4 linked regions of the Arabidopsis thaliana genome follow. The protein of the gene in region 1 interacts with the protein of each later gene in a pairwise test. Each region holds a gene or a part of one and is shown in the gene's direction. Other genes may lie near its edges. The genes, in order: AT1G73660, LHCA3, FASS and AT4G17250.

Region 1 (7,718 bases):
CAAACCTCCCGGGAGAAACGAATGTTCTTTTACGGTTTTAACTTTTAACTTTTAATCTTGCTGCTTTGGCCTATTAAACTCTTCTTTTCTGAGCAAAATCACACACGCTATGTTTTATGGTTACGTAAACGCTTTTTTTTATTGGCTTAAACCAAACATAACGTGTAGTAAATAGAAACTCTCCATTCACTTCTTCTTTTTTTGTTTGTTTAAATGTTACTAAGATTTATACCAAATCAAAAATATTTTCTTATGTTTTCGGACAAAACTCAAGCCCCATTTACTTTTTTTTTTTTTTTTGTATGTTTTAATGTTACTATAAGATTTATTCCAAATCAAAAATCTTTTCTTATGTTTTCGGACAAATCTCAAGCCGCCCAAAATTGAATTGTTAGCCAACTACCCTTGAGCACTTAAAACCTCCAATCGTTTTCCTTTTTTCTTGTTTTATTTTATGGAATACAGATCCTTTATACTATAAAATAGATTTTTGAGAAGTGTCATAGTTGGAAAAGTAGATAACATATTTAAGTCGAATGGGGGGGGGGATGAATATGAAAACCACGGTAATAGTATATTTTTGTTTTTTACCGTATTTATCATTCCAGTATATAAAAATTAAAATGTAAAGTTTAATTTTTAAAAAAAATTACGTATAAATTATTTCAACAAATAATCATCTTCTATGGTGGAAAACAATTTCCAAGACACATAAAGAGTTACCTTAATTAATGATACATTAAAAAAAAATTACCTGATGGTTTCTGAACCTCACAATCGTGTGGACACTATAGAGTTGATCACTGGAAAAATCATAAATATTCGTGTTGGTCAACTATTGGCTCATAGCTCACACCATTTAATAAGTTCAAAGAAGATACAATGATTACCTATTACATAAATCATACATGCATACGTGTGGTTGTCCATATTTTGACATTAATCATATACTATAATAAACTCATATATTTTGTGCATATATGACATACATAGCTATCTCTATTGTAAGTTGTAAGTCGTAACCACTATATAAACTAATTAATTACATATGTATATAGTGATAGATATGTTGAATGATCGAAGAGATAACGGTGTCTCTTCACGAAAATAGAGTTTCATCAAAAGCAAGATAACGGAGTACTAATTATCTAACTCGTTAATTAATTGAGCTCTATCTTAGTAAGATTCACCGGACACTGCAATATACAATTAACCACGTGCTTTTCAAGTGAATATTCAGTTAAATTCTCATTTGTCTTTTCTTTAGAATTGACACCTTAAGCTATTTCTAGTCATTCTCAAAATATAAAAAGTTAATGGTCCTTAATTGCCGTGACAATTGCTATTCTTCTTTTATTCCCAAAAGAGATACAAGTATAAAAGATCGAAACGCTATACTATTTATTAAAAAAAATAAAAATACAGTTTTAATTATATGACCAAAAAGACTTTTGATATATTTGATCGAAAAATGAAAATTGATTTAGAACTTGATTGGTTCTCCTACTACCATATGCAAATGTTGAGTTTGCGGTTGCTAGCGTTTAAAATGAATCAAAGAAATTGCTTTAAACCACTTTGGATAGTTTTTTTATTGTTCTAATGCAAAATTTTAAAGAAAACATTCCCGTAAGTATTTTTATTTATATATTAGTGAATTAAGGACAAAAAATGTATCTCACAGTTTTCTCAGAATTTTCTTTTTTGACATAGTAATGAATAAATTGATGTAGATTCTATGCTGTTTATAGAAACAAAAAGTAACCGTTTTAAATGCCTCAATTGACGTTAAGTCTGTCTTGGTGCAATTTAATTATGTTTCGTCATCATCTTTTCAAGTTCACGCACTAAGCTTAGTGAAAAAGATACGCCTTTTTTCTTGTTCTGTTTTGTTTTGCATGTCACAGTAAGTAACTCTCCTCCTCAATTATCAAAAATGCAAACTTTAATTTTCTTCTAGAGAAGAGCCACTCTCTCCACTTCTTTCTTTGTCCAACTTTTTAGACAGAGAAAGTGGCGTCAGAGATAGATAGAGAGATACATATTCAAGTTGGTTGAAGGAGGAGAATTAGCGGTTCATATCAGTACGGAGAAAATTGTCAGTCATATGCTTTTTTTCTTTAAATTCTGCATTTGAGTGGGTGTGTGCTTTTAACCATTTTGGTGATTTATCAAAAAAAAAAAAAAAATTCTGTGTGTTTTGAGCTCAAGCTCTCTACAAATTTTGCTGTCTCAAGTTTTTGCCTTTTGAAGTCCAATAAAGTTGAAATCTTTGTTCTTTTTGATTGGTCTTCGTGAATTCCGGTGAAAGTTTCAAACTTTTGATTTAAATTCCGGGGAGGAATTAGGGTTTATGAAAGTAAAAGAAGAAACTTTGAAGAATTTGGGAGATGGAGTGGTTTTAAGACCTGTTGATCATTGTTCTAGCATTTGGAGTATGAAGATGAACATGAAGAACTTTCTTAAGAAACTTCATATCTCGCCCAATCAATCAGATGAAGCTGAAGGATCAATTTCAACAACTAAGAGCAATCATCATAAGTCTATCGATGTATCATCATCATCATCACCGAGGTCTCATCACAGCAATAGCCCTGAAATCAAACCTTTTTCTGGTTTATCTAATTGGTTAAGTTCTGTTGGTCATAGAAAAATCCCTAGTCCTCCTAATTCTTTCAATGCCAAGAACAGAGCCGCCACGGTTGATGACACTGTTGTTGTTAATGGGTCAGAACATGTGGATTTAGGTTCCAAAGATCCAGCTGTTGAAGAAGAGAATCAGATACAGTTGGCTTTAGAGTTAAGTGCTAGAGAAGATCCTGAGGCTACTCAGATTGAGGCTATTAAGCAATTCAGTTTAGGCTCTTGTGCTCCTGAGAACTCTCCAGCTGAACTCATCGCTTATCGCTACTGGGTAAGCTTTTGATTCAATTGTTTTCTCTGCATAACAGAAACTCTTTAGTTACTCCCAAGAACTCATTTCATTTTGGTATTGTTGCATTCACAGAATTACAATTGTCTTGGCTATGATGACAAGATCTTGGATGGTTTTTATGACTTGTATGGAGTGTTGAATGCATCCTCAGCAGAAAGAATACCTCCTTTGCTCGATCTTCAAGGGACACCTGTTTCAGACGGTGTGACATGGGAAGCTGTTCTTGTGAACAGAAGTGGGGATTCTAATCTGTTGAGACTTGAACAGATGGCTCTTGATATTGCTGCTAAATCAAGATCAGTTTCTTCCTCTGGTTTTGTGAATAGTGAATTGGTAAGGAAACTGGCTATTTTAGTGGGAGATTACATGGGTGGACCAGTCGTGCACCCAGAGAGCATGTTGAGAGCTTGGAGGAGTCTTAGCTATAGTTTGAAAGCAACTCTTGGAAGCATGGTTTTGCCACTTGGTTCTCTGACTATTGGTTTGGCTCGTCACCGAGCCTTGTTATTCAAAGTATGCACTTTTTCTTCTGAATCTCAGCACTTTTAAGTTTATTTCATTTCTTATGGTTCTTTCTTTATATGAAACTTTGTAGGTATTGTGTGATAGTGTTGGTGTTCCTTGTCGAATAGTCAAAGGTCAGCAATATACCGGTTCTGAAGATGTGGCAATGAACTTTATTAAGGCTGATGATGGCAGGTAATCATCACATTAATGTGTAGATTCAATATTTGTCTATCATTCATGTATATTGTTATCTAATCTGCACCTCCTGAAGCTAATATTGAGGCTTAAAGAAAGAAACTTTGTTATATGCTATTCAATTGTGAATTTCAGGGAGTACATTGTTGATCTTATGGGAGATCCCGGCACGCTTATTCCAGCTGATGCAGCTGGACTACAAATAGACTATGATGAATCTGCCTATTCCGCTAGTCCTGGAGACAATGATTCAATTCATGTAGCTTCTTCCAGCAATGGTATTGAAAGCTCATATGAAGAGAATACAGAGTTTCGAACAGGGGAACATCGTTCTAGTACCAAGAGTTCTGGGGAGAGAAACCAATCCGGAGGTGGAGGCGATCTCATTGTTCATCCAAATATTTCTAGAGAAGATGTGAAAAATCAGAAGAAAGTTGAAAAGGCTCCATTTCAAAATCTGTCTAGCAGGCCTATTCATTCTTTCACCCATATGAGATCACCTTCTTGGACTGAAGGGGTTAGCTCCCCAGCTGCACAAAGGATGAAAGTCAAAGATGTTTCACAATATATGATTGATGCTGCTAAAGAGAATCCACGGTTAGCTCAGAAGCTTCATGATGTATTACTTGAAAGCGGAGTTGTAGCTCCTCCCAATTTATTTTCCGAAGTCTATCCCCAGCAATTGGAGGCAACTGTTGAAAGCAAAAACTCGACTGAAGCCAAGAAAGAGAGAGGAAAAGATTTAGAGACAACTCAGGAAGGAAGACACCAAAACGGTTTTGGTCCAGTGAGGTTTTTGCCTCCATTACCAAGAGTGCAATCTAAAACAAATGCACATGATCAACGTGATAATGGCAAAGTTGTAAGTCAGTCTGATTCTTCACATTCTGAAGCATCTTCGACAGAATATGCCAGAACCGTCCCTGCTGCTGTAGCTGCAGCTGCTGTTGTTGCATCTTCCATGGTTGCTGCTGCTGCTGCCAAGTCTGCAAACTCAGACTCCTCCCCCATAGAACTTCCTGCTGCAGCTGCTGCCACGGCCACTGCTGCTGCAGTTGTGGCAACAGCTGCAGCCGTGTCCAGGCAACTTGAATTAGGCTCGAATAGCGACGGGGATGATGGTTCTGGTGGGCATGAGCCTCAAGGTAGTGGGGACTCTAATCATGGGCCAAATTCAGGAGGGGAAAGAATATCTGACAAATCTATTGGCAATGAAAGTTCTAAGTCAGACTGTGATGATGTATCTGACTGTGAGATTTTGTGGGAAGAAATTACTGTGGGAGAACGTATTGGACTTGGTACCTGACTTATCATCATCTGTTATCTGCTTTGGTGTAACTACATCTTCAAATAATTAACTACTTTACTTCTTTTGATACAGGATCTTATGGAGAAGTGTATCGGGGAGATTGGCACGGGACTGTGAGTATTATATTTGCTTTTCCAATTTATACTGTGAATTTGAACTCGATGAAAAAAGAGTTTAGAAATTCCTTAGTTTGAGTTCCATATCGTCGAAACTCTTGAACTTTAGGAAGTGGCTGTCAAGAAGTTCCTTGATCAAGATTTAACAGGAGAAGCATTGGAGGAATTCAGAAGTGAGGTACGAGCCTTTCTTCTAATCTTTTCTTTTACCTGATTTTCCATGTTGATTAGTTCTATATCAAACCCTTCTTATATATTCTTGTGATACAAGGTCCGAATCATGAAAAAGCTAAGACATCCCAACATTGTTCTCTTCATGGGAGCTGTGACTCGCCCACCGAATCTTTCAATTGTTACAGAGTTTCTTCCTAGGTAATACTATGATCTTTGCAAGATTCAGTTACTTTGATATGATTCTCATGGCTACAACGATTTCCATCTCCTTATTCATGATGCGCATGCCTCTGTTTTTATCTATTTTGTGACCTCTAAATGCCAAAATCTTCTTTGCATCAATGAGTGTTGTTCAAGTATTTGCTTTAAGTTCTAAAATCTGGATGGTTTGAACAGGTTCAATCCGGTTGTGCTTCGTTTTTGGATCTTTACATTATAATATTTTTTTCCAAACTTGTGCAGAGGTAGCTTGTATAGGTTAATCCACCGGCCAAATAACCAATTAGACGAGAGGAGGCGCCTGAGAATGGCCCTTGATGCTGTATTAGTCTTTTCTTCTCTTACTATATCACCTGTTTGTAACTTCTTGATTCTTTCAGTAGAGTGTTGAGGTAACATATTACTTGTATTCAGGCTCGTGGAATGAACTATTTGCACAGCTGTAATCCGATGATTGTCCATCGCGATCTTAAGTCCCCAAACCTTCTAGTTGACAAAAACTGGGTCGTGAAGGTCAGATTCTCTCCATAAAATTTATTGTTTCTTACCAAGTGGATAATGTTATATCGTATGTAACAGCTATAAGTTTACATAACAAATACTGGATTTTCATATATATCAGGTGTGTGATTTTGGATTGTCTAGGATGAAACACAGTACATACCTCTCTTCAAAGTCAACAGCAGGGACGGTAAGAAGCAAGTTATAGTCTCCCCTGTCTTAATCATCTCTTTTTACAGTTATTGTAATTGCCAGTTCGTTAATCTAATTATGTGTTGGTCTTATAAAGGCTGAATGGATGGCTCCAGAAGTGCTAAGAAACGAACCTGCTGATGAGAAGTATGCTCTTAGATCTTTTGCTACTAGATATTCATTTTGTTCCCTTTTGTCAGAAGCAGGCCTAATGTCAGGAAAAAACAATACGTGAAACAGGTGCGATGTTTACAGCTACGGTGTGATCTTATGGGAACTCTTTACGTTACAACAACCGTGGGGAAAGATGAACCCGATGCAAGTAGTTGGGGCAGTTGGGTTTCAGCATCGACGTCTTGACATTCCCGACTTTGTAGATCCAGCAATTGCAGATCTCATCAGTAAATGCTGGCAGACGTGAGTATAGATTATTTTTCAATGTTTCAGCCACAATATGAAGTAGCAGTGCTTAAACAACATCATTTCACTTGACCATGTCTCAGTTAACACATGTAATGGCTTTGTGTGTGTTTATCAGGGATTCAAAGTTAAGGCCAAGTTTTGCAGAGATAATGGCGTCTCTAAAGCGGCTACAGAAACCTGTAACAGGTTCCAACATCCCAAGACCAGTCCCCAGTTCCTCTTCATTACCAACTGAACATGAACAAAAGGATTGATAACAGAAGAAGACGACCAAAGTGGCAAACACATTTTTGACGAATTCAATCTGTTTGAAGGAAAAAAAAGCTACAAATGTTCCTTCTCTGCTACTTTTTGCCTCAGCTTCAGTGTTTGACACAGCTTGTGAATTGTGAAAAAGAAAGATTCATGGAAGATGACGATTGAAGAAGGTGAAGGATTGTGCTCGTGTGTTTTGTTGTCTTTGCTTGCAAGCGATGTTCATGTTCATGCGTAATTTCCTCTATTTTGTTTTCCAATATTGAAACTGTACAAAGAGAGAAAGAAAAAACAATTGACAAACTCGTCGAAACGTTGACCGAAAACATATATTAAAAAAAATCATTGAGCTCTGTCTTTATTCATCACACGAACAAGATAAGGCTGATCTTTATTATTGGGATATATGAATCAAAATAATATAATATTTTAAAAAACTTTGCTTTTACGAAAAATCTTTGACAATGGCGACTCTCTTCACTGCGACGGTTCCTTCTCACCACCGTTTCGTCTCTCCATCCCAACATCCGAAACAGAGTCTTCTATCGCAGTCGCTAAGCGTCACATTCACGGAGAATCCACAACCAACGGCGGTGGTCACATTGCAGGAGCAGCAATTGACGGATTGGATTACTTCTCCGGTGACGCGACGGTTCGGAATCGGCGCCGGGTTTACCTGGGCTGGGTTTTTAGCTTTCGGTGTTGTCTCCGAGCAGATGAAGAAGTCACGACTCGATGTGTTTCAGGAAGAGGATAACACAAGGTTACTCTTACTCATCAAGACTTCGAATTATTCTCTTGTTAAGAACTAAAGATGGAAAATTTAAGTGAATGTTAGCAATTAGGGATTTGATAATACAATCAAAGACTTGAGCTCATAGTTTATTTGTTC
Region 2 (3,848 bases), 5.0 Mb from region 1:
CAATCATGAGATATTATTCTTGACTATTTCTACAGTATTTGAACTCAAACCTTAGACGAACTCATGCTACTACTACAGAAAGCCAAATGCAACCACTAATTACAGAGGACGTACCTGAGAAACCAAAGCTTTCTTACTTGGAGACAAAACTTGCTGAAACAAGGACTGAAGAGAAAAAATCTTTTATAAGATGAAATTCTCCCGTATAAATAAGCAGTTATAAGCTATACACGAGTCACAACATCATCAATCAACAAAACTCAGAGCCAAACTTGTTCTTCGAGACTAAATAGAGACTAATGCAAAGTTTTTTATCAATGAGCTATACACGAGTCACAACATCATCAATCATTGTATCTCAAAACAAATCAGATAACACAATCTGGATCCTAGCTTTCTGCATCAAAAATACAAAAGACCTATAAACACAAAAACAATTCCACTTTGGATGCAATTGAACACGTCAAGGAGGCAGCTGAAGTTTGTAACTATGGATGGTCAATCTAAAGAGGGCTAAAGTGCAGATGCTAAAGTGGCAGCACCAAATGGTTCTGTTGCTCCTAATGTAGAGACAACAAAGCCTCTTAAGAGCAAATCGAAGACTCAAAAGCAACACAAAGCAAGCAAAGCAACACAAGCCGTAAACTAAAGCTAATCGAAGAATCAAAAGCAACACAAAGCAAAGTAAAGCAAACCCACAATTAAACAATGTAACCATGGTGGATCAAACCCAAGAACAAGTGATTGCAACAAGGATACAAAGAGAAACAACGAGAGAGACATGGAGCGAGAGAGAGGAAGCGAGAGAGGGAGAGAGAGAGAGAGAGAGAGAGAGAAACACAAACCTACTACACTCCGGCGATGGATCCGACGAGTCTCCAGTGAAGAATCGGCGACGGCGAGATCACCGGCGAAGAATCAGCATCATTGACGGCTATGAATCTCAATTTTGAGTGTTTTGTGTCGAGGAGAGGGTGAAGAAGAGATGTGGTTTTTGGATGTAATTCCATATATTAGATTAGGGTATTATTGACATTTTATAATTTTGGCTGAATCAGCTTCAGCAGAATGAACAAATCAAACTCAGTCAGATTTTTTTTATTTTTTGGATGAGTTTAGAAAAAAACATTCAACTGAATCATTCAAATGATCTATTTAAACATGAAAAACAAACAACAATTTTCATCTTCATTGAGATGGTTCATCCAAATGGACAAACAAACAGGACCTTAATAGAACAACCCAAAAAAGAACTCTTACAAATTGATTAATAAAATAATTTAATCAAAAAGAATTATAGATTTTTATTTTAAAAACTACAAATAGTTTAAAAAAAATATAATATTTACAATTTCCATCACAAATTGTTTCTTAATGCCCAAGGATGAAGGATCACATAGTTAATAAGTAATTAAGTACTATTTTATTCATGTACTTTCTCTTTGCCCTATCCAGAGTTGCTACAAGCCTAAAACTCGGTTTTACCACGATTTTTCTTTGGTGTATTTGACAGACTATTAATGGTTTGTTTATCTCTATTATCAGTTGAATTGTTATATCAAAATTTGAACTGATTGGGTATAAAAAGAAACTGAGAACTGATTCATGCTAAGGAAACCTTGTTTAACAAATACCATGGATGCTTTTTAACCGTATCAGCCTCTCCAATGTTTTCGTAAATCAATAGTTCAAAATTTTTTTCTACCACACAAGTGCATCTCCATTCCAATTTTCAATCTATATAAATCATATGTATTTTTTGTATCCAATAGTCATCTTTGTAAAGATTTTTTGTTCGTGTGTGGCGGATAAGCAAAAACAGAATAACATAATCTCTTATCCAACTTATATTGCCACGTGGACAGATATAGTTGGTGAAGCAGATACTAATCTAATCTGAGCAAAACCAGTTGGGCTATTTGAAAGCCACAAGTACTTGGAACCTTTGTTTCTTCTACCCTAACATAGCCCTTGCAAACCATAACCAAACCATCATCATCATCATCTCTTGGTGACAGAAGAAAAGAGTTGAGGAACAGAGAAAATGGCAGCACAAGCACTTGTGTCTTCTTCACTTACCTCCTCTGTTCAGACAGCTAGACAGATATTTGGCTCAAAACCAGTTGCGTCTGCCTCACAGAAGAAGAGTTCCTTTGTTGTTAAAGCTGCTGCAACTCCACCTGTCAAGGTACATGACAGTCTCTATTCTTTCACAGATCTCTCTCTTTCTCTATGTACTGAATAATCTGATCTTGATTTTGTGTTTTGGTTTTTCAGCAAGGAGCCAACAGACCATTGTGGTTTGCTTCATCGCAGAGTCTCTCTTACTTGGATGGCAGGTAATGTTCAAACAACTTTTGGAATTTTATTTGTTTTGAGAACTTCATGATGTTCAAAATTTGGAGATGTTCTGATTCTTCTTGCAGCTTACCTGGTGACTATGGATTCGACCCTCTTGGTCTTTCAGACCCAGAAGGTACTGGAGGATTCATTGAGCCAAGATGGCTAGCATACGGAGAGATCATCAACGGACGGTTCGCCATGTTGGGTGCAGCTGGAGCTATTGCTCCTGAGATTTTAGGAAAGGCTGGTCTGATTCCAGCAGAGACTGCTCTTCCTTGGTTCCAAACCGGTGTGATTCCACCAGCAGGGACATACACTTACTGGGCAGACAATTACACACTCTTTGTTCTCGAGATGGCTCTGATGGGATTCGCTGAGCACCGGAGGTTACAGGACTGGTACAACCCAGGATCTATGGGAAAACAGTACTTCTTGGGGTTAGAGAAGGGTTTGGCCGGTTCAGGTAACCCGGCTTACCCCGGTGGACCTTTCTTCAACCCTCTTGGGTTTGGGAAAGATGAGAAGTCACTGAAGGAGTTGAAACTCAAGGAGGTCAAGAACGGTAGACTGGCTATGCTCGCCATCCTCGGTTACTTTATCCAAGGACTAGTGACCGGTGTGGGACCTTATCAGAACCTGCTTGATCACTTGGCTGATCCCGTCAACAACAACGTCTTGACCAGCCTCAAGTTCCACTGAGGTGATCATCATCTCATGTGTTTTTATGTCTCTTGTATCGTACAATATTTCCATCTTTCGCTACCATTGGCTTCTTCGTATTGTAACACCCTGTGTAAACATATTCGTGTTTTGTAAGAAATGACAATGTCAATGGCCAAACGAAAAAACTTTTAGGATTAACAGTTGGCATTTGCAAACCAAACAAAGCGGTTAGTATATTCAAAGAATGTTATGAAATACTGTACCTGTTATGCTTTAAAAGTAGTCTCATCTTATCACTCTGTATCTCCCAAACCACCTTAGACATTTAAGACAAAAACAAATTTAACAATAAGCCATGTTGGTGCTATCAAAGAGAAACACTATCAATGGATTTGAAGACAAAACTATAATTGAAGAAGTAGCTCTTTCGTGTTATCTTTTAAGCCGTACCTAGTTCAGAACTTGCAAGACGAATGGAAAGAAGTTCTCCACCAGCAGAAAATTGCACTGCGTCCATTAGGTCCTGGTTCCACATAAAGAACCCTAGTCCATTGATATAAACAAAGGCCAAGCAAGAACAATTGCGGAGACAAATCTGGTAACAATCTTCAGCATCCAAAACACTTGCAAACCCTAATGGATATATAAACCCTTTGTAGCATTTAAATTTTGGAGGAACGTGCGTCACACACAAACCAAAAGATCCACATCCACTGTACTAATCACATGAGTTCGCTGGAGTCTCAAAGGTCATTATGCTGAAAAATCCTGGCGATTTCTGAAACCCTTCTATCAAAACCCTTCTGGCATTCACAAGATCCAAATAGCTAAAAGAAACCACC
Region 3 (5,720 bases), on another chromosome or scaffold:
ATATGAACCACATATTACATTTCCTAAAGGCAAACACAGTCTCATAATTCTCCAACAGCATGATAGTGTTGGACTCTAAGAGTACCCAATCCAGTCTATAGATAACCCAGAAACTCATATCCGTTCATAATACTCTAACATACCTCTATCAACATGAGCTTTTCTACTAGCAGAGTCAGCAATGGAAGACTTTCAAAAGTCCTGTACCTGTATCTATATATAAATTCTTGTATAGTGAGCATTACTTACAAGATGAGATTTCCTCTGGAGATTAACCGAGATACTAAACCTAACCCAGATGATCGAATGAAGGAAGCAGGGCTCACATGTAAACATCAAGCTTTACCAAACAAAAGAAATACAAATCAACTGTTCCTAAACCAAAATGAAATTTTTACATCTTTGAACAATCTAGCTTCTGTGATTAGTTTATCCTATCAAAGCTTGTAACCATCATCAACACACTAAACTAAAACCAGCTCAAAAATGAAGAAAAATACACACTTACATTTCAGGACCTTCTTCGCCATTCTCAGCAATCCTAGGAACTTTATTCATCCCCGACTTAAACGAAGCATTCCCTCGTCCACCTCTCCCTCCAGGCAACAACAACGCCCTCTGTCCCGGATGCAACAACTCCAAAAGCACCTCCTTCTCCTCCCCTTCCTCACCCTCCACCTCACTCCCAACCTCTCTAGCCTGTCTAACCACCGTCCCAGGAGCCACTTTCACCACGACATTATCACCTTTAGCTCCACTCTGCATCTTCCCTCTCCCATGTTCCCCACGTCCCGCCCTGAAATGCACACTCTTGCGAAATGGCAACAACGAATTCATAGACCCATCAACCTCTACATACACATTCCCTCCTCTCCCTCCATCTCCACCTGAAGGTCCTCCAAAAGGAACAAACTTTTCTCTCCTAAACGCCACCACACCATTCCCTCCATCTCCGGCTCTAACATATATCTTCGCTCTATCGAAACACCTCATCACAGCCGGAACTCCTTTCTCCTTCACCCCAATTTCATCCTCTTCCTCTTCACCGGAGAAACATAACACTTCTCCATCCTTCAATTCAGACCCTTCACTATCATCTTTCTCCGCATCAGTTTCATCACCATACTCAAACACTTCGTCTTCCCAATCTTCATCATCTTCATCAATTGATCTTGAACTCCCTTCAAACACATCTAATCTTCTGTAATTTCCCCAAATATCATCATCATCATAACTCTTCACCTCCTTTTCTTTCTCTTCTTCCTCAATTTCCCTCAAAGTTTCAATCTTTTCCTCAACCCTCGCGACATTGGACTCAGATAGCTTCACTTCTTCAGAAACTTTTAAATAAGATGAAGACAAAAGAGAGACATCATAGTAATCTTCCCTAGGAGGAAGACGTGTATAAGTAGTGGCTTCGCCGCCGGCATCAGAAACTGGCTGGAGTTTATCACCGCCTCGAGATTTAAGCTCGACTTCGCGTTGAAGCTTCGTTTTTCTAGGGCTTCGGGTTCTTCCCGAGACTTTGTCAGGTTTAGCGAAAATCTTCCTCGTCCTACTGGGTCGGGCTAGAGCTTGAGGAGTGAAGAAACAGTTAATGGATATGGAAGCCATTTGTTTCTCTGATAAATCTTAACGGGACTTTATGTGATATAAACAACATTTTGTACTAAATATTGATTTTTCAAAGTAAAGGGGGTTACAATCAAAAGTAGTATAAAATTGAGGACTTATATAGCAAACAAGGAGAAACTTTTATTACCTTTGAAGTTTGAAGCTTGGATCTCGCAGATTGAGCTCCAGAGAGGGAGAGAGAGAGAAAGGGGGCGCTTTAGGGTTTCTGCAGTTCCTGGTTCAGTCTCACCATTCTATTTAAGGGTTTTAATCTCTCTGCTTCATTTGGTGACTAACATTTATCGTCGAGGGTTGTGACGATCTCCGAGAATGTATAGCGGATCTAGCGATGGTGAGAGTCATGATACATCGACGCAGAGGAAGATCCCACCGGCGTCTTCGATGCTTTGGGTTAGAAATCTACGACGATATATTGGTTCCGGTGCCGGATTAGGATCCGAAGCTCTAATGGGTAATGTTCCTTTTGCCGGTTGTTGCGTTTTGGTTGTTGGGACAGTCTGTAGTTTTTTTATCTTTTAGCTTGTGATGATGTCATAAATTCTGTAAAGTTTGAATCTTTGATCACATTTTAGAGCTCGTTGTGTTTTCAATATGAGTAAAGTTCCTGAATTTACATGTCTATGTATTGAAAGACTATGTTTAACTGTGATAGAGTCTTTGGTTTTGCTTAGTTTGATAAGGGTTTGTGTTCATTGTTTTGTAGAGCTTGAGACGAAGAGAATCTTGCTCGAGATTTTTAAAGAGAAGCAACAGAAAAGCCAAGAAGCAGGCACAATACCGAGTTTCTACAAGAAGGCATGTCCCTTACTCTGTATAAAATGATTGCCTTTGCATTTCAAGGCACTACTCGGTTAAAATATTGCATTGTGTTATACACTTCATAGAAGTTGTTTTTCCTTTTAAGTATTCGTGTTAGGCAATAAAATTTTGTTCCTTTACTCTTGGTTCAGAAACCAGAAGAAGGATCTATTAGTCAAAGGGTCCAGAAGCTTGCAAAGTACCGTTTCTTGAAGGTATTTCGCCTGCTCTTAATTATTCAGAAGAAGTTTAATGTTTTTGCTCACTTCGATATGTTGATTAATTCCCACAGAAACAATCGGATCTTTTGTTAAACGCTGATGATTTGGCTGCTATGTGGGTTTGTTTGAGAGAAAATTGTGTGATTGATGATGCCACTGGTGCTGAAAAGGTACGTGCATCTTTTATAGGATTTTTCTCTGGAGCTGAAACTATGTTAACAATGATGCTGATATTGCGCTGTCTTTTTCATGTAGATGAACTATGAAGACTTCTGTCACATTGCCTCTGTATGCACTGAACAAATCGGTCCCAAATGTCGCCGGTTTTTTAGCCCATCCAATTTCATGAAATTTGAGAAGGATGAGGCTGGGAGGATTGCCATTTTACCGTTTTATCTTTATGTGATGCGCACGGTGAGTATCCTTATGTTTTTATAATGTCATGTCTTTGGGTATCATTTTTGTTCATTGGCTGAATATCATCTGTCGCCATAAGCTAAATATTCTTTGGTACTGTGTTTGAGTGACACCAGCTTTGCTAGTTTTGGATGTTTGTTTTTCAAGTTTTTTTAATTTGGCGTGTCTTTTACTTAAACAACTATAGTTAATACTTGTTTTGATTAATCATATGTTCAACACTATTCAGGTGTCGCTTACACAAGCTAGGATTGATATGAGTGAGCTTGACGAAGACTCTGATGGTTTCCTTCATTCTGATGTAAGTACTCAAGTGGCTCTAAAGCTTTAACTTTAGAATTGGCTCAAGATTCTTTAGGTAGTCGTCCTACCTGCAAATGTCAAATGGTGTTGACTTTTATGTCAAGTTCCTTACAGTTAGTCTACTTGCTGTTGTTATTATAGGAAATGGAGTCCTATATTGGTGGTCTAATCCCTAATCTGGCACAACTGAGAGACATGCCTCCGGCCTTTAATCAAATGTATTGCCGCATAGCTTCACAAAAGTTTTTCTTCTTCTGTGATCCCCATAGGCGAGGTAAGTGAAAGAAAATATTATTATTATTAGGCAATTAGAAATTTCTTTGACCCAGTATTCAATCGCTCGTAAATGTGATATTTTTTGCGTACAGGAAGAGCCTGCATTAAAAAGATACTGCTCAGTAACTGTCTGCAGGAACTAATGGAATTGCATCAGGTAAGTTTAGTTGAAGGATGTATGACATACAGCTTCGTCACCGTATAACTTTCCACTTTCATAAGCTACTTGCTTGTGTTTTCTGATTGTTCCTTGGTTACTCAACGTTAGGAAAGCGAGGAGGAAGTCACAGACACTGAACAGGCAGAAAATTGGTTCTCTTTGACTTCAGCCCAACGCATATGTGGTGGGTGTGCTATTTTGTCTTAATAGCTGCAGAGAACTGGAAACAACTCTCGTTATGTCATATTAAGAACTAAAATGGAGATTGATCTAGAGTTTCTCTTTCTTCTGTAGATATGTTCCTCGCACTTGATAAAGATATGAGTGGATCGCTGTGCAAACAAGAACTTAAAGAATATGCTGATGGGACCCTAACTGAGATTTTCATTGAAAGAGGTAAATTTAAGCCCTTTTGGTGATTGTAGGCTCGTGGTACTGATCGAGACACGCTTAGTATACTAATTCCCCTTTGTTTTTTTAGTGTTCGATGAGCATGTCCGCCGTGGTAAAATCGTGGCAGGCAATTCCCGGGAAATGGACTTTGACAGTTTCCTCGATTTTGTTCTTGCTTTGGAGAACAAAGATACTCCAGAGGGTTTGACGTATTTATTCCGTTGCCTTGATCTCCAAGGGAGAGGCTTTCTCACTACTGCTGATATTCACTCTCTTTTCAGGTAATGAATCTCTATGAAGCGACTGAATCTGTTTGGTTTCTTACTTTTTAGTAAATTTTGTTTGAAACATGGAAGTAAAGAAGGGGAGCATCAAAGAGTTGTGATGTTATCTGATACAATCTTCCTAAATAAACACTCTGCATTTCCTGCTTGCGGAAGCTGAGCTTTGTTCCGCGAGTCTCATATCTGCAAAGACACTAGTGCATATCAAACACACCATTGATGTGTGATAATGCCATTGTCTCTCTTCTGAATTCATCTGTTTAACTTGCAGAGATGTTCACCAGAAATGGATAGAAGGTGGGAACTATGAACTGTGCATAGAAGATGTTCGAGACGAGATCTGGGACATGGTGAAACCGTCTGACCCATTAAAGATCACTCTGGGTGATCTCTTGGGATGTAAACAAGGTGGAACCGTTGCGAGCATGCTTATAGATGTGCGTGGCTTCTGGGCTCATGACAACCGTGAGAACCTTCTTCAAGAAGAAGAAGAACCACCTGAGGAAGAGTCTCAGTGATAATGTTATTTTCTATGTCTACCTAAAAAAAATGCTAAATCATTGAGATCAAAAGTCTCGCACTAGTAAACAGTCTCATCTCATGTGTGTGTATCTTTGTAAGCTTATTAGTTGGTGACGTTTAATGAAATGGCTGTTTATATCGTCACTTGTCTTATTCTACTTGGGATCTGATTTGATTTTTGACATTTCTGAATTCACTTCTATTATACATTACTCCACAACACACATGAATTCAGTCATGTCTCGAGTACTACAAAATGGAAGTCATAAAAGTTATCGTGTTGTCTCTGGTCTGTGTTTAGACATGGAAAGGCTTTCTGGGTGTAGCAGCTCTGTTCTCTAGAGATTGTAATCTTTGCTTCAGATGAAACACTTCAACCTGCGTTCATCTCAAGTTTTTAGAACAATACTACATTTTGAAAATGCAAATTTGAATAGAGTCTATTGATGATTATGATGACACCTGCAACTGGAACGCTCTTGCTCTTTCTCCTGCAAGAACTCCTCTTGTTGAATGCAACTCCTACAAAACCCATAACACAAAACGGTATTAAACTTTAATCCTCAGTCTTTTGAAAACGCTTGTATATCTACTAGGATTATTTTACCTTTTGTGTATCGTCTAGGACAGCTTTGAGGAACGCTACATCATGCTCAAGCCTGACATTGTCGGAGTGAACCATGTTTGACAAACTATTAGCTTCCTCTTGAG
Region 4 (5,167 bases), on another chromosome or scaffold:
TCCATATTGTAGAACCCAAAGCCTAATAACCGTACACTAAGCCCTTACATACATGAAACGCTGAATTGTCATTGGTAGAAAAGGAAATGGAAGAGTAGTAGTAAGGAATTATATCAGTTAATAAGAGTTGTAATGTGAATAGAACACGTAACTGGACTAGTATGCATGTGTATGAGAAGTTCAAATCTTTAACTCTCACAATATCGTCGAAGACAATTGTTTAGGATAAGATAGAAACTAAATGAGCATTTAAAATTTAAAGAAAAAAGGGAACTGTAGAGTTGCCTTGGCAGGAGGGGAAAGCATTATCATGAAGAATCTGGTCTACAAGAATGGGAAATGGACAGATGTATCTGTTCACCACCAATCCATCTTCATAACTCAAGTGGTCCCTTTCTCTCGACCCATCCACGTCTCCTTCATCACAAGTAAGACCAAATTAAGCCACCATTTGGTGTCTGTCATCTTCTCTTTAATGCTCTCTTTTGTTCTTTCTTTATAAACACAACAAGACATGAAAGGTTTTTGGGAACTTGTCTGAGTTCCAATGCGGCTGCTGCTATCATCTGATCCCCAACCCGAACTTACGTCTACATGTACCTCTCATAGTTGCGGCTGGAAGCCTTACTCTCATTCCAATGACTTTGCTGCCAACGCGTTCCTCCTTCTCATCATCCTCTTCTGTTCTTTCATATGCGTCCTCTCTCTCCACGCTGCTATCCGTTGTTGCCTCCGTCCAGTCCTCCAACATGTCCCTAAGCCCGACCCGGACCTTGAGGCCACCCATCCAGACGCTCCCCCGACACTTGTCTACTCCCCGGGCCTAAACCTAGCAGGCAATGAAGCAGAGTGCATCATTTGTTTGTCTGAATTCCAAGACGGTGACACCTTACGCGTGTTGGAGAGATGCAAACATGGATTCCACGTTTATTGCATCCAGAAGTGGCTCTCCTCATCCCATTCTTCTTGTCCCACTTGCCGGACAAACATCTTCTCCTCCCCACCTCAACTTCACTCACAAAGCTTACCACTAACGAGTACACCTTAGTCAGATGGTAGCTAGTTCCTGGTCTTGCCCACTTTTTTTTTATCTTTATTTTCTTTACAACTTCACACCACTATCATGTTTTACAAGTTAGTTTATTTTTTACCTTTCTCCTTTTATATTCCATGAAATTTGCACAGTCTAAAATTGATATGAAGTCACTTTTGTGAATCATCATTTACAACGTATAACAAACAAAGACCAATGTGTAACGAAGCAATAACAATACCTCATAATATAGAGGGACCAAAGGCTTTATTTAATGTCGGAGTTCAAGATATATGAGGTCTTGACTGGTGTTAGGTACGTTCCCACTTGTTGGATAAGATAAAGAAAAGAGTTGTTACTAGATAAGATAATGGATAAATATAGAGGATGAGAAAAAAAAATAGAAGTGGAATGACGACGACTCACATTACGAGCATTAACTCCATTGCCCATTGGCATGGAATGATTCTAGCTAGCAGTAGGAGAAAATTCCAAGTGCGTGCAAAGTTCTTCAATGAATTCCTAGACCCCCTAACCAGAGTCATGGATGCAATACTGGAAAGGCAAGACTATGCTCGCTGCATATTTTCAGGTTGCTGACATGTTCAAGCTCAAAACACAATCAAGCGATGAAGTTAGAGGAGAAGATGATTGAACAACTTTGATCTGGTCTCAAAGGTCAAAGCCATGCAATATCTCCTCGTATGTACTACATTGTTCTAGATAGCCTAATGATGCACATCGTGAGTTATGTTAAAAAACTATTTTTAGAAAAAGTTACTGAGAGTTCTGGACAAAAAGTTCAGGGTAATGATATTTAAGGTGACAAAAGGTAGGAGATGTTACTATTCACAAAAAAAAATTAAAGGGTTATCTTGTAATGCGACTTGTTCATGTTAGTTGTTGACAAAAAAATAGACTGTTGTAGATTATTTGTTATGAGGGTAGGAGTAGGATCGTGTAGTGGAGAGACGAACACGTAAGTAGAAAGAAAGAGCCTTGTTATTAGATTAGAGCTGTGTTAATGTGTGAACGCAACCAACAGTTCGTTTTTGAACGAGTCTAACTAGAGACAAGTCAAAGCTTATGACTTTGAGTGGACACTGGACAGAGCTAGTAACTTCTTTGAAGATTCTGAACAATTTTATAACATCAAGACACGACTCTGTCGCTCTCTCTCTCCATAGAAGAAGACGAAGAAATAGAAGAATCGAGAGAGTGAGACAAATCTAGTGATGGGTTGCGACTCACATGGAAATCTAAGCGACACAGAGTTCAGCAAGCCGTTGCCATCCATAGGTGTATATGTCGCTGCAGCTTCACTGATCTGTGGAGTTGCTATGTTTTCCGATCTTCTTCACGGCTTCCGGCACCGTAAGTTCTGGTTTCCTTGCAAATTCTTCTCTCTCAACGCTACCACTCTCACCTTTATCTCTGTATGCGTCAAACTCTCATTGGATCTCAACACTTCTATGCCTAGTCGCCAAGATCAGCTTGCTAAACTCAGCAGCAGCGTCTTCGTATGCACCGTGATGGCTAATTCCATGCCTTCTCTTGGTTACATGGTCACGCAAGATCTCCTCATGAACCTCACGGCTCTTGGGATTCTAGTCATCACCGATGTTGTTAACATCTGTATCCAATTGGGTACAGGAGCTATATATGTGTTCCCTCAAGAACACGCTCTGGTCATTATTCTCATGCTTTTGATGTTTATGATCTTGAGTTTCTCTGCTATCACTGTCCCAGCCACAAAGCGTTTCTTGGAGCTCAAGTACAAGAAGAGATACGAGTTTGCTTTGAAGCAGTGTCCTTCGTATACAGAGAGAAGAAGAGGGGTTCCTAAGCTTAAAGAAGATCTGATGAAATTCTGGATGATGGCTCACACTTCTAGCCCTCAGTTTGTGATGGCTCGCTCTGTTACTTGCACCACCACTGGTTTCCTCTGTTTCTTGATTGCAATCACATTGGCTGAAGCCATGGTCCGGTCTTACTTTCTTCAACCCCGGTCACTAGGGTTCTGCAATGGAGATTCTGATTACAAATGGTCAACCACTTTGGTTCTAGTCTCCCAGACAGCTGCAGTGGCCATAGGAACCGTTGCTCCAGCGAGCAGATGGCTCAAGGCAGTGAACTTTAGGTGTCCATTTAGAAACAAGAAATCTTTGAAAGATGAGTTAAGAGTAGAGAGTTATTGGGTAGAGTGTCTCGCTGAGAAGAAAGAACGTCCCTTGAACTTTTGGATGCTCCATGGTCGCTGCAGCAGGAAGCTTGCACACGACTTAAACCGGTTGATGCTTGATATCTGCATTGCAACACAGTATGGTATAGTGCTGGCTAGCAAGTTTCTCCGTTTCATCACGGTCTATTGTTCGAGTAGAATCTTGCTATGTTGTTTTCATTTCACCTTCAAAAGTGATTCTGTTGCAAACGCTGAGTCCTCCGGTTCAAATCCATCAACCAGACAATTCGTTCTGCATCTTGAAGGAGAGGAGGAGATGGTGGACTACATGGCACGTAGCAACCGTGTGGCCACAGACCACTTGATACAAAAGGGTCGGAAGAAACAACCTGTAAACTTGATAGAGCTCTTGGAGGCAACAACTTTCATCTCAAAAGGATTTGAAGGGATTCGAGATTTTGACAGCGACGAGGTTTCTTCTCTGGCCTCTGGAGAGCCACCTAATAGTTGGGCCCTTCCATTGGTAACACTGACGAGTATCGCTGTCGCTCTTCCTAACATCAAGCCTTGCTCGCTCAAGAAGTTAGTGAAAGCTGTAAACGAGGCATTGGTCTATGTCAACAAGTTCGAAGAGGTCTTAGACATCGAAGGAGAGTTAGCTAACAGCAGGAAAGCTGCAGAAGTTGTTTGGTTAGGAGTTGATCTCTACCATAAATGGCTCAACGTGGATCTTCGAAAACTATCCAAGCAACATAGCAAAACACCACAGGAAGTTCTTAAAGAGCTGGTAGATATAGCACAAAAAGAGTTTACAGAGTCATGGGAGAAAAATCGGATACTATGCATGAAGCATAAGCCCTCGCACTGGCCCATCAAGACTCAAGCAGCAAACTCAATGTACCGAATCAGCCAAACCCTTTTGATGAAGTACGAATCAAGAAACATTGAAACAGAGGAGACTCTGTTGAAAGATGTGGAAAAGATGGTATCGGACATAGTATCAGGATGCTTTTGCAACACGGCACAAGTTATTGGAATGAAGTGTTTGGTTACAGCAGTGGAAGTGAGGGAAGCGTCGGTGAGAGAAGCGGCAATGCATTTGGGGAGAACAGAGAAGATACTTGAGATCGTAGACAGGAGATGCATGCCTGCTTTGTCTCATCACAAAGTGGCAAAGATTGATGAATGGAGAGAGTTTTATAGGACCAATAAATCCATCACTTTCACTCATCCTTCGTCCCAGTGTACGACCCGTGAACTCATTATCAACCTAGAATAACACATTTTCTTGTCACATTTAAAGAATTAATTACGTTTTGTACATGATAAAACCTAATTAGCAAATAAAATCCTTTCTTTGTCGGTTGATCTAACTATTAACACTTGATGCCAAGTCTAAAGAGTTTATTAGTTTTTAAAACCCAGTTTACCAATAATAAGTTTCCTTTGTCGGTTGATGCACTAGTCAAACTATCAAAGTCGTCAAGTTTGCTTTGTTGACAAGGCAAAGCTACTCTTCCAAAACATTGATCCATTCTTCTGGAAATTTGCAATAACGTCTCAAGACCAATGCAAGTAATAATTTAACCATGCCATGTTATCAACAAAAGCTGCTTCTCTGATTTCTAGAGTATTATTTTTTAACCATTATTGAAGTTTGAAGATTTCTTATTATTGCTAAATGGTAAAACCATCTTGAGGGGAACAATTTGATAAAACTGTGTGCTGCTTCCTGTCTCCGACCAAAACATGTTTAAAATTAGATTCGGACCAAACAAGTTGTCAATTTTTAGTACAAATCAAAGGTTCAAATGTCAATAAATAATCATTACATTTTAAAATTTCGAAATAAAAGGACAAACATGTAAAAACCAAAAAAGTGAAGCACTGATATTTGTCATTTCTGCCTATAAAATGTACACTTCCCACTCACACGGTCACAGAAACCAAAT

The links.
Region 2: the proteins of AT1G73660 (region 1) and LHCA3 interact in a two-hybrid assay, tested with the Arabidopsis thaliana proteins (one study listed by BioGRID).
Region 3: the proteins of AT1G73660 (region 1) and FASS interact in a two-hybrid assay, tested with the Arabidopsis thaliana proteins (one study listed by BioGRID).
Region 4: the proteins of AT1G73660 (region 1) and AT4G17250 interact in a two-hybrid assay, tested with the Arabidopsis thaliana proteins (one study listed by BioGRID).

What each region holds. Positions count from the first base shown.
Region 1 is NC_003070.9:27,691,354-27,699,071, reverse strand, and holds AT1G73660 (protein tyrosine kinase family protein), read left to right. Parts: upstream 1-1,699; 5' UTR 1,700-2,353; coding exon 2,354-2,914; intron 2,915-3,007; coding exon 3,008-3,448; intron 3,449-3,530; coding exon 3,531-3,634; intron 3,635-3,772; coding exon 3,773-4,935; intron 4,936-5,018; coding exon 5,019-5,059; intron 5,060-5,171; coding exon 5,172-5,240; intron 5,241-5,333; coding exon 5,334-5,434; intron 5,435-5,698; coding exon 5,699-5,777; intron 5,778-5,869; coding exon 5,870-5,968; intron 5,969-6,077; coding exon 6,078-6,146; intron 6,147-6,245; coding exon 6,246-6,295; intron 6,296-6,388; coding exon 6,389-6,565; intron 6,566-6,686; coding exon 6,687-6,825; 3' UTR 6,826-7,179; downstream 7,180-7,718. Other genes in the region: AT1G73655 (FKBP-like peptidyl-prolyl cis-trans isomerase family protein), read left to right, coding at 7,291-7,589. UniProt on the Arabidopsis thaliana protein: Acts as a negative regulator of salt tolerance. Mediates sugar response during early seedling development.
Region 2 is NC_003070.9:22,698,108-22,701,955, forward strand, and holds LHCA3 (PSI type III chlorophyll a/b-binding protein), read left to right. Parts: upstream 1-1,785; 5' UTR 1,786-2,044; coding exon 2,045-2,188; exon of another isoform or gene 2,189-2,277; coding exon 2,278-2,339; exon of another isoform or gene 2,340-2,385; coding exon of another isoform or gene 2,386-2,426; coding exon 2,427-3,042; 3' UTR 3,043-3,305; downstream 3,306-3,848. UniProt on the Arabidopsis thaliana protein: The light-harvesting complex (LHC) functions as a light receptor, it captures and delivers excitation energy to photosystems with which it is closely associated, here photosystem I.
Region 3 is NC_003076.8:6,173,210-6,178,929, forward strand, and holds FASS (tonneau 2 (TON2)), read left to right. Parts: upstream 1-1,762; 5' UTR 1,763-1,944; coding exon 1,945-2,086; intron 2,087-2,338; coding exon 2,339-2,430; intron 2,431-2,585; coding exon 2,586-2,648; intron 2,649-2,725; coding exon 2,726-2,824; intron 2,825-2,909; coding exon 2,910-3,068; intron 3,069-3,300; coding exon 3,301-3,372; intron 3,373-3,515; coding exon 3,516-3,648; intron 3,649-3,742; coding exon 3,743-3,807; intron 3,808-3,918; coding exon 3,919-3,994; intron 3,995-4,104; coding exon 4,105-4,206; intron 4,207-4,291; coding exon 4,292-4,484; intron 4,485-4,494; exon of another isoform or gene 4,495-4,758; coding exon 4,759-5,005; 3' UTR 5,006-5,192; downstream 5,193-5,720. Other genes in the region: EMB269 (GTP1/OBG family protein), read right to left, coding at 509-1,614; AT5G18590 (Galactose oxidase/kelch repeat superfamily protein), read right to left, coding at 5,307-5,387, 5,472-5,531, 5,617-5,720. UniProt on the Arabidopsis thaliana protein: Probable regulatory subunit of type 2A protein phosphatase involved in the control of the dynamic organization of the cortical cytoskeleton.
Region 4 is NC_003075.7:9,668,836-9,674,002, forward strand, and holds AT4G17250 (uncharacterized protein), read left to right. Parts: upstream 1-1,927; 5' UTR 1,928-2,268; coding exon 2,269-4,494; 3' UTR 4,495-4,640; downstream 4,641-5,167. Other genes in the region: AT4G17243 (uncharacterized protein), read right to left, coding at 462-494, 1,152-1,220; AT4G17245 (RING/U-box superfamily protein), read left to right, coding at 548-1,048.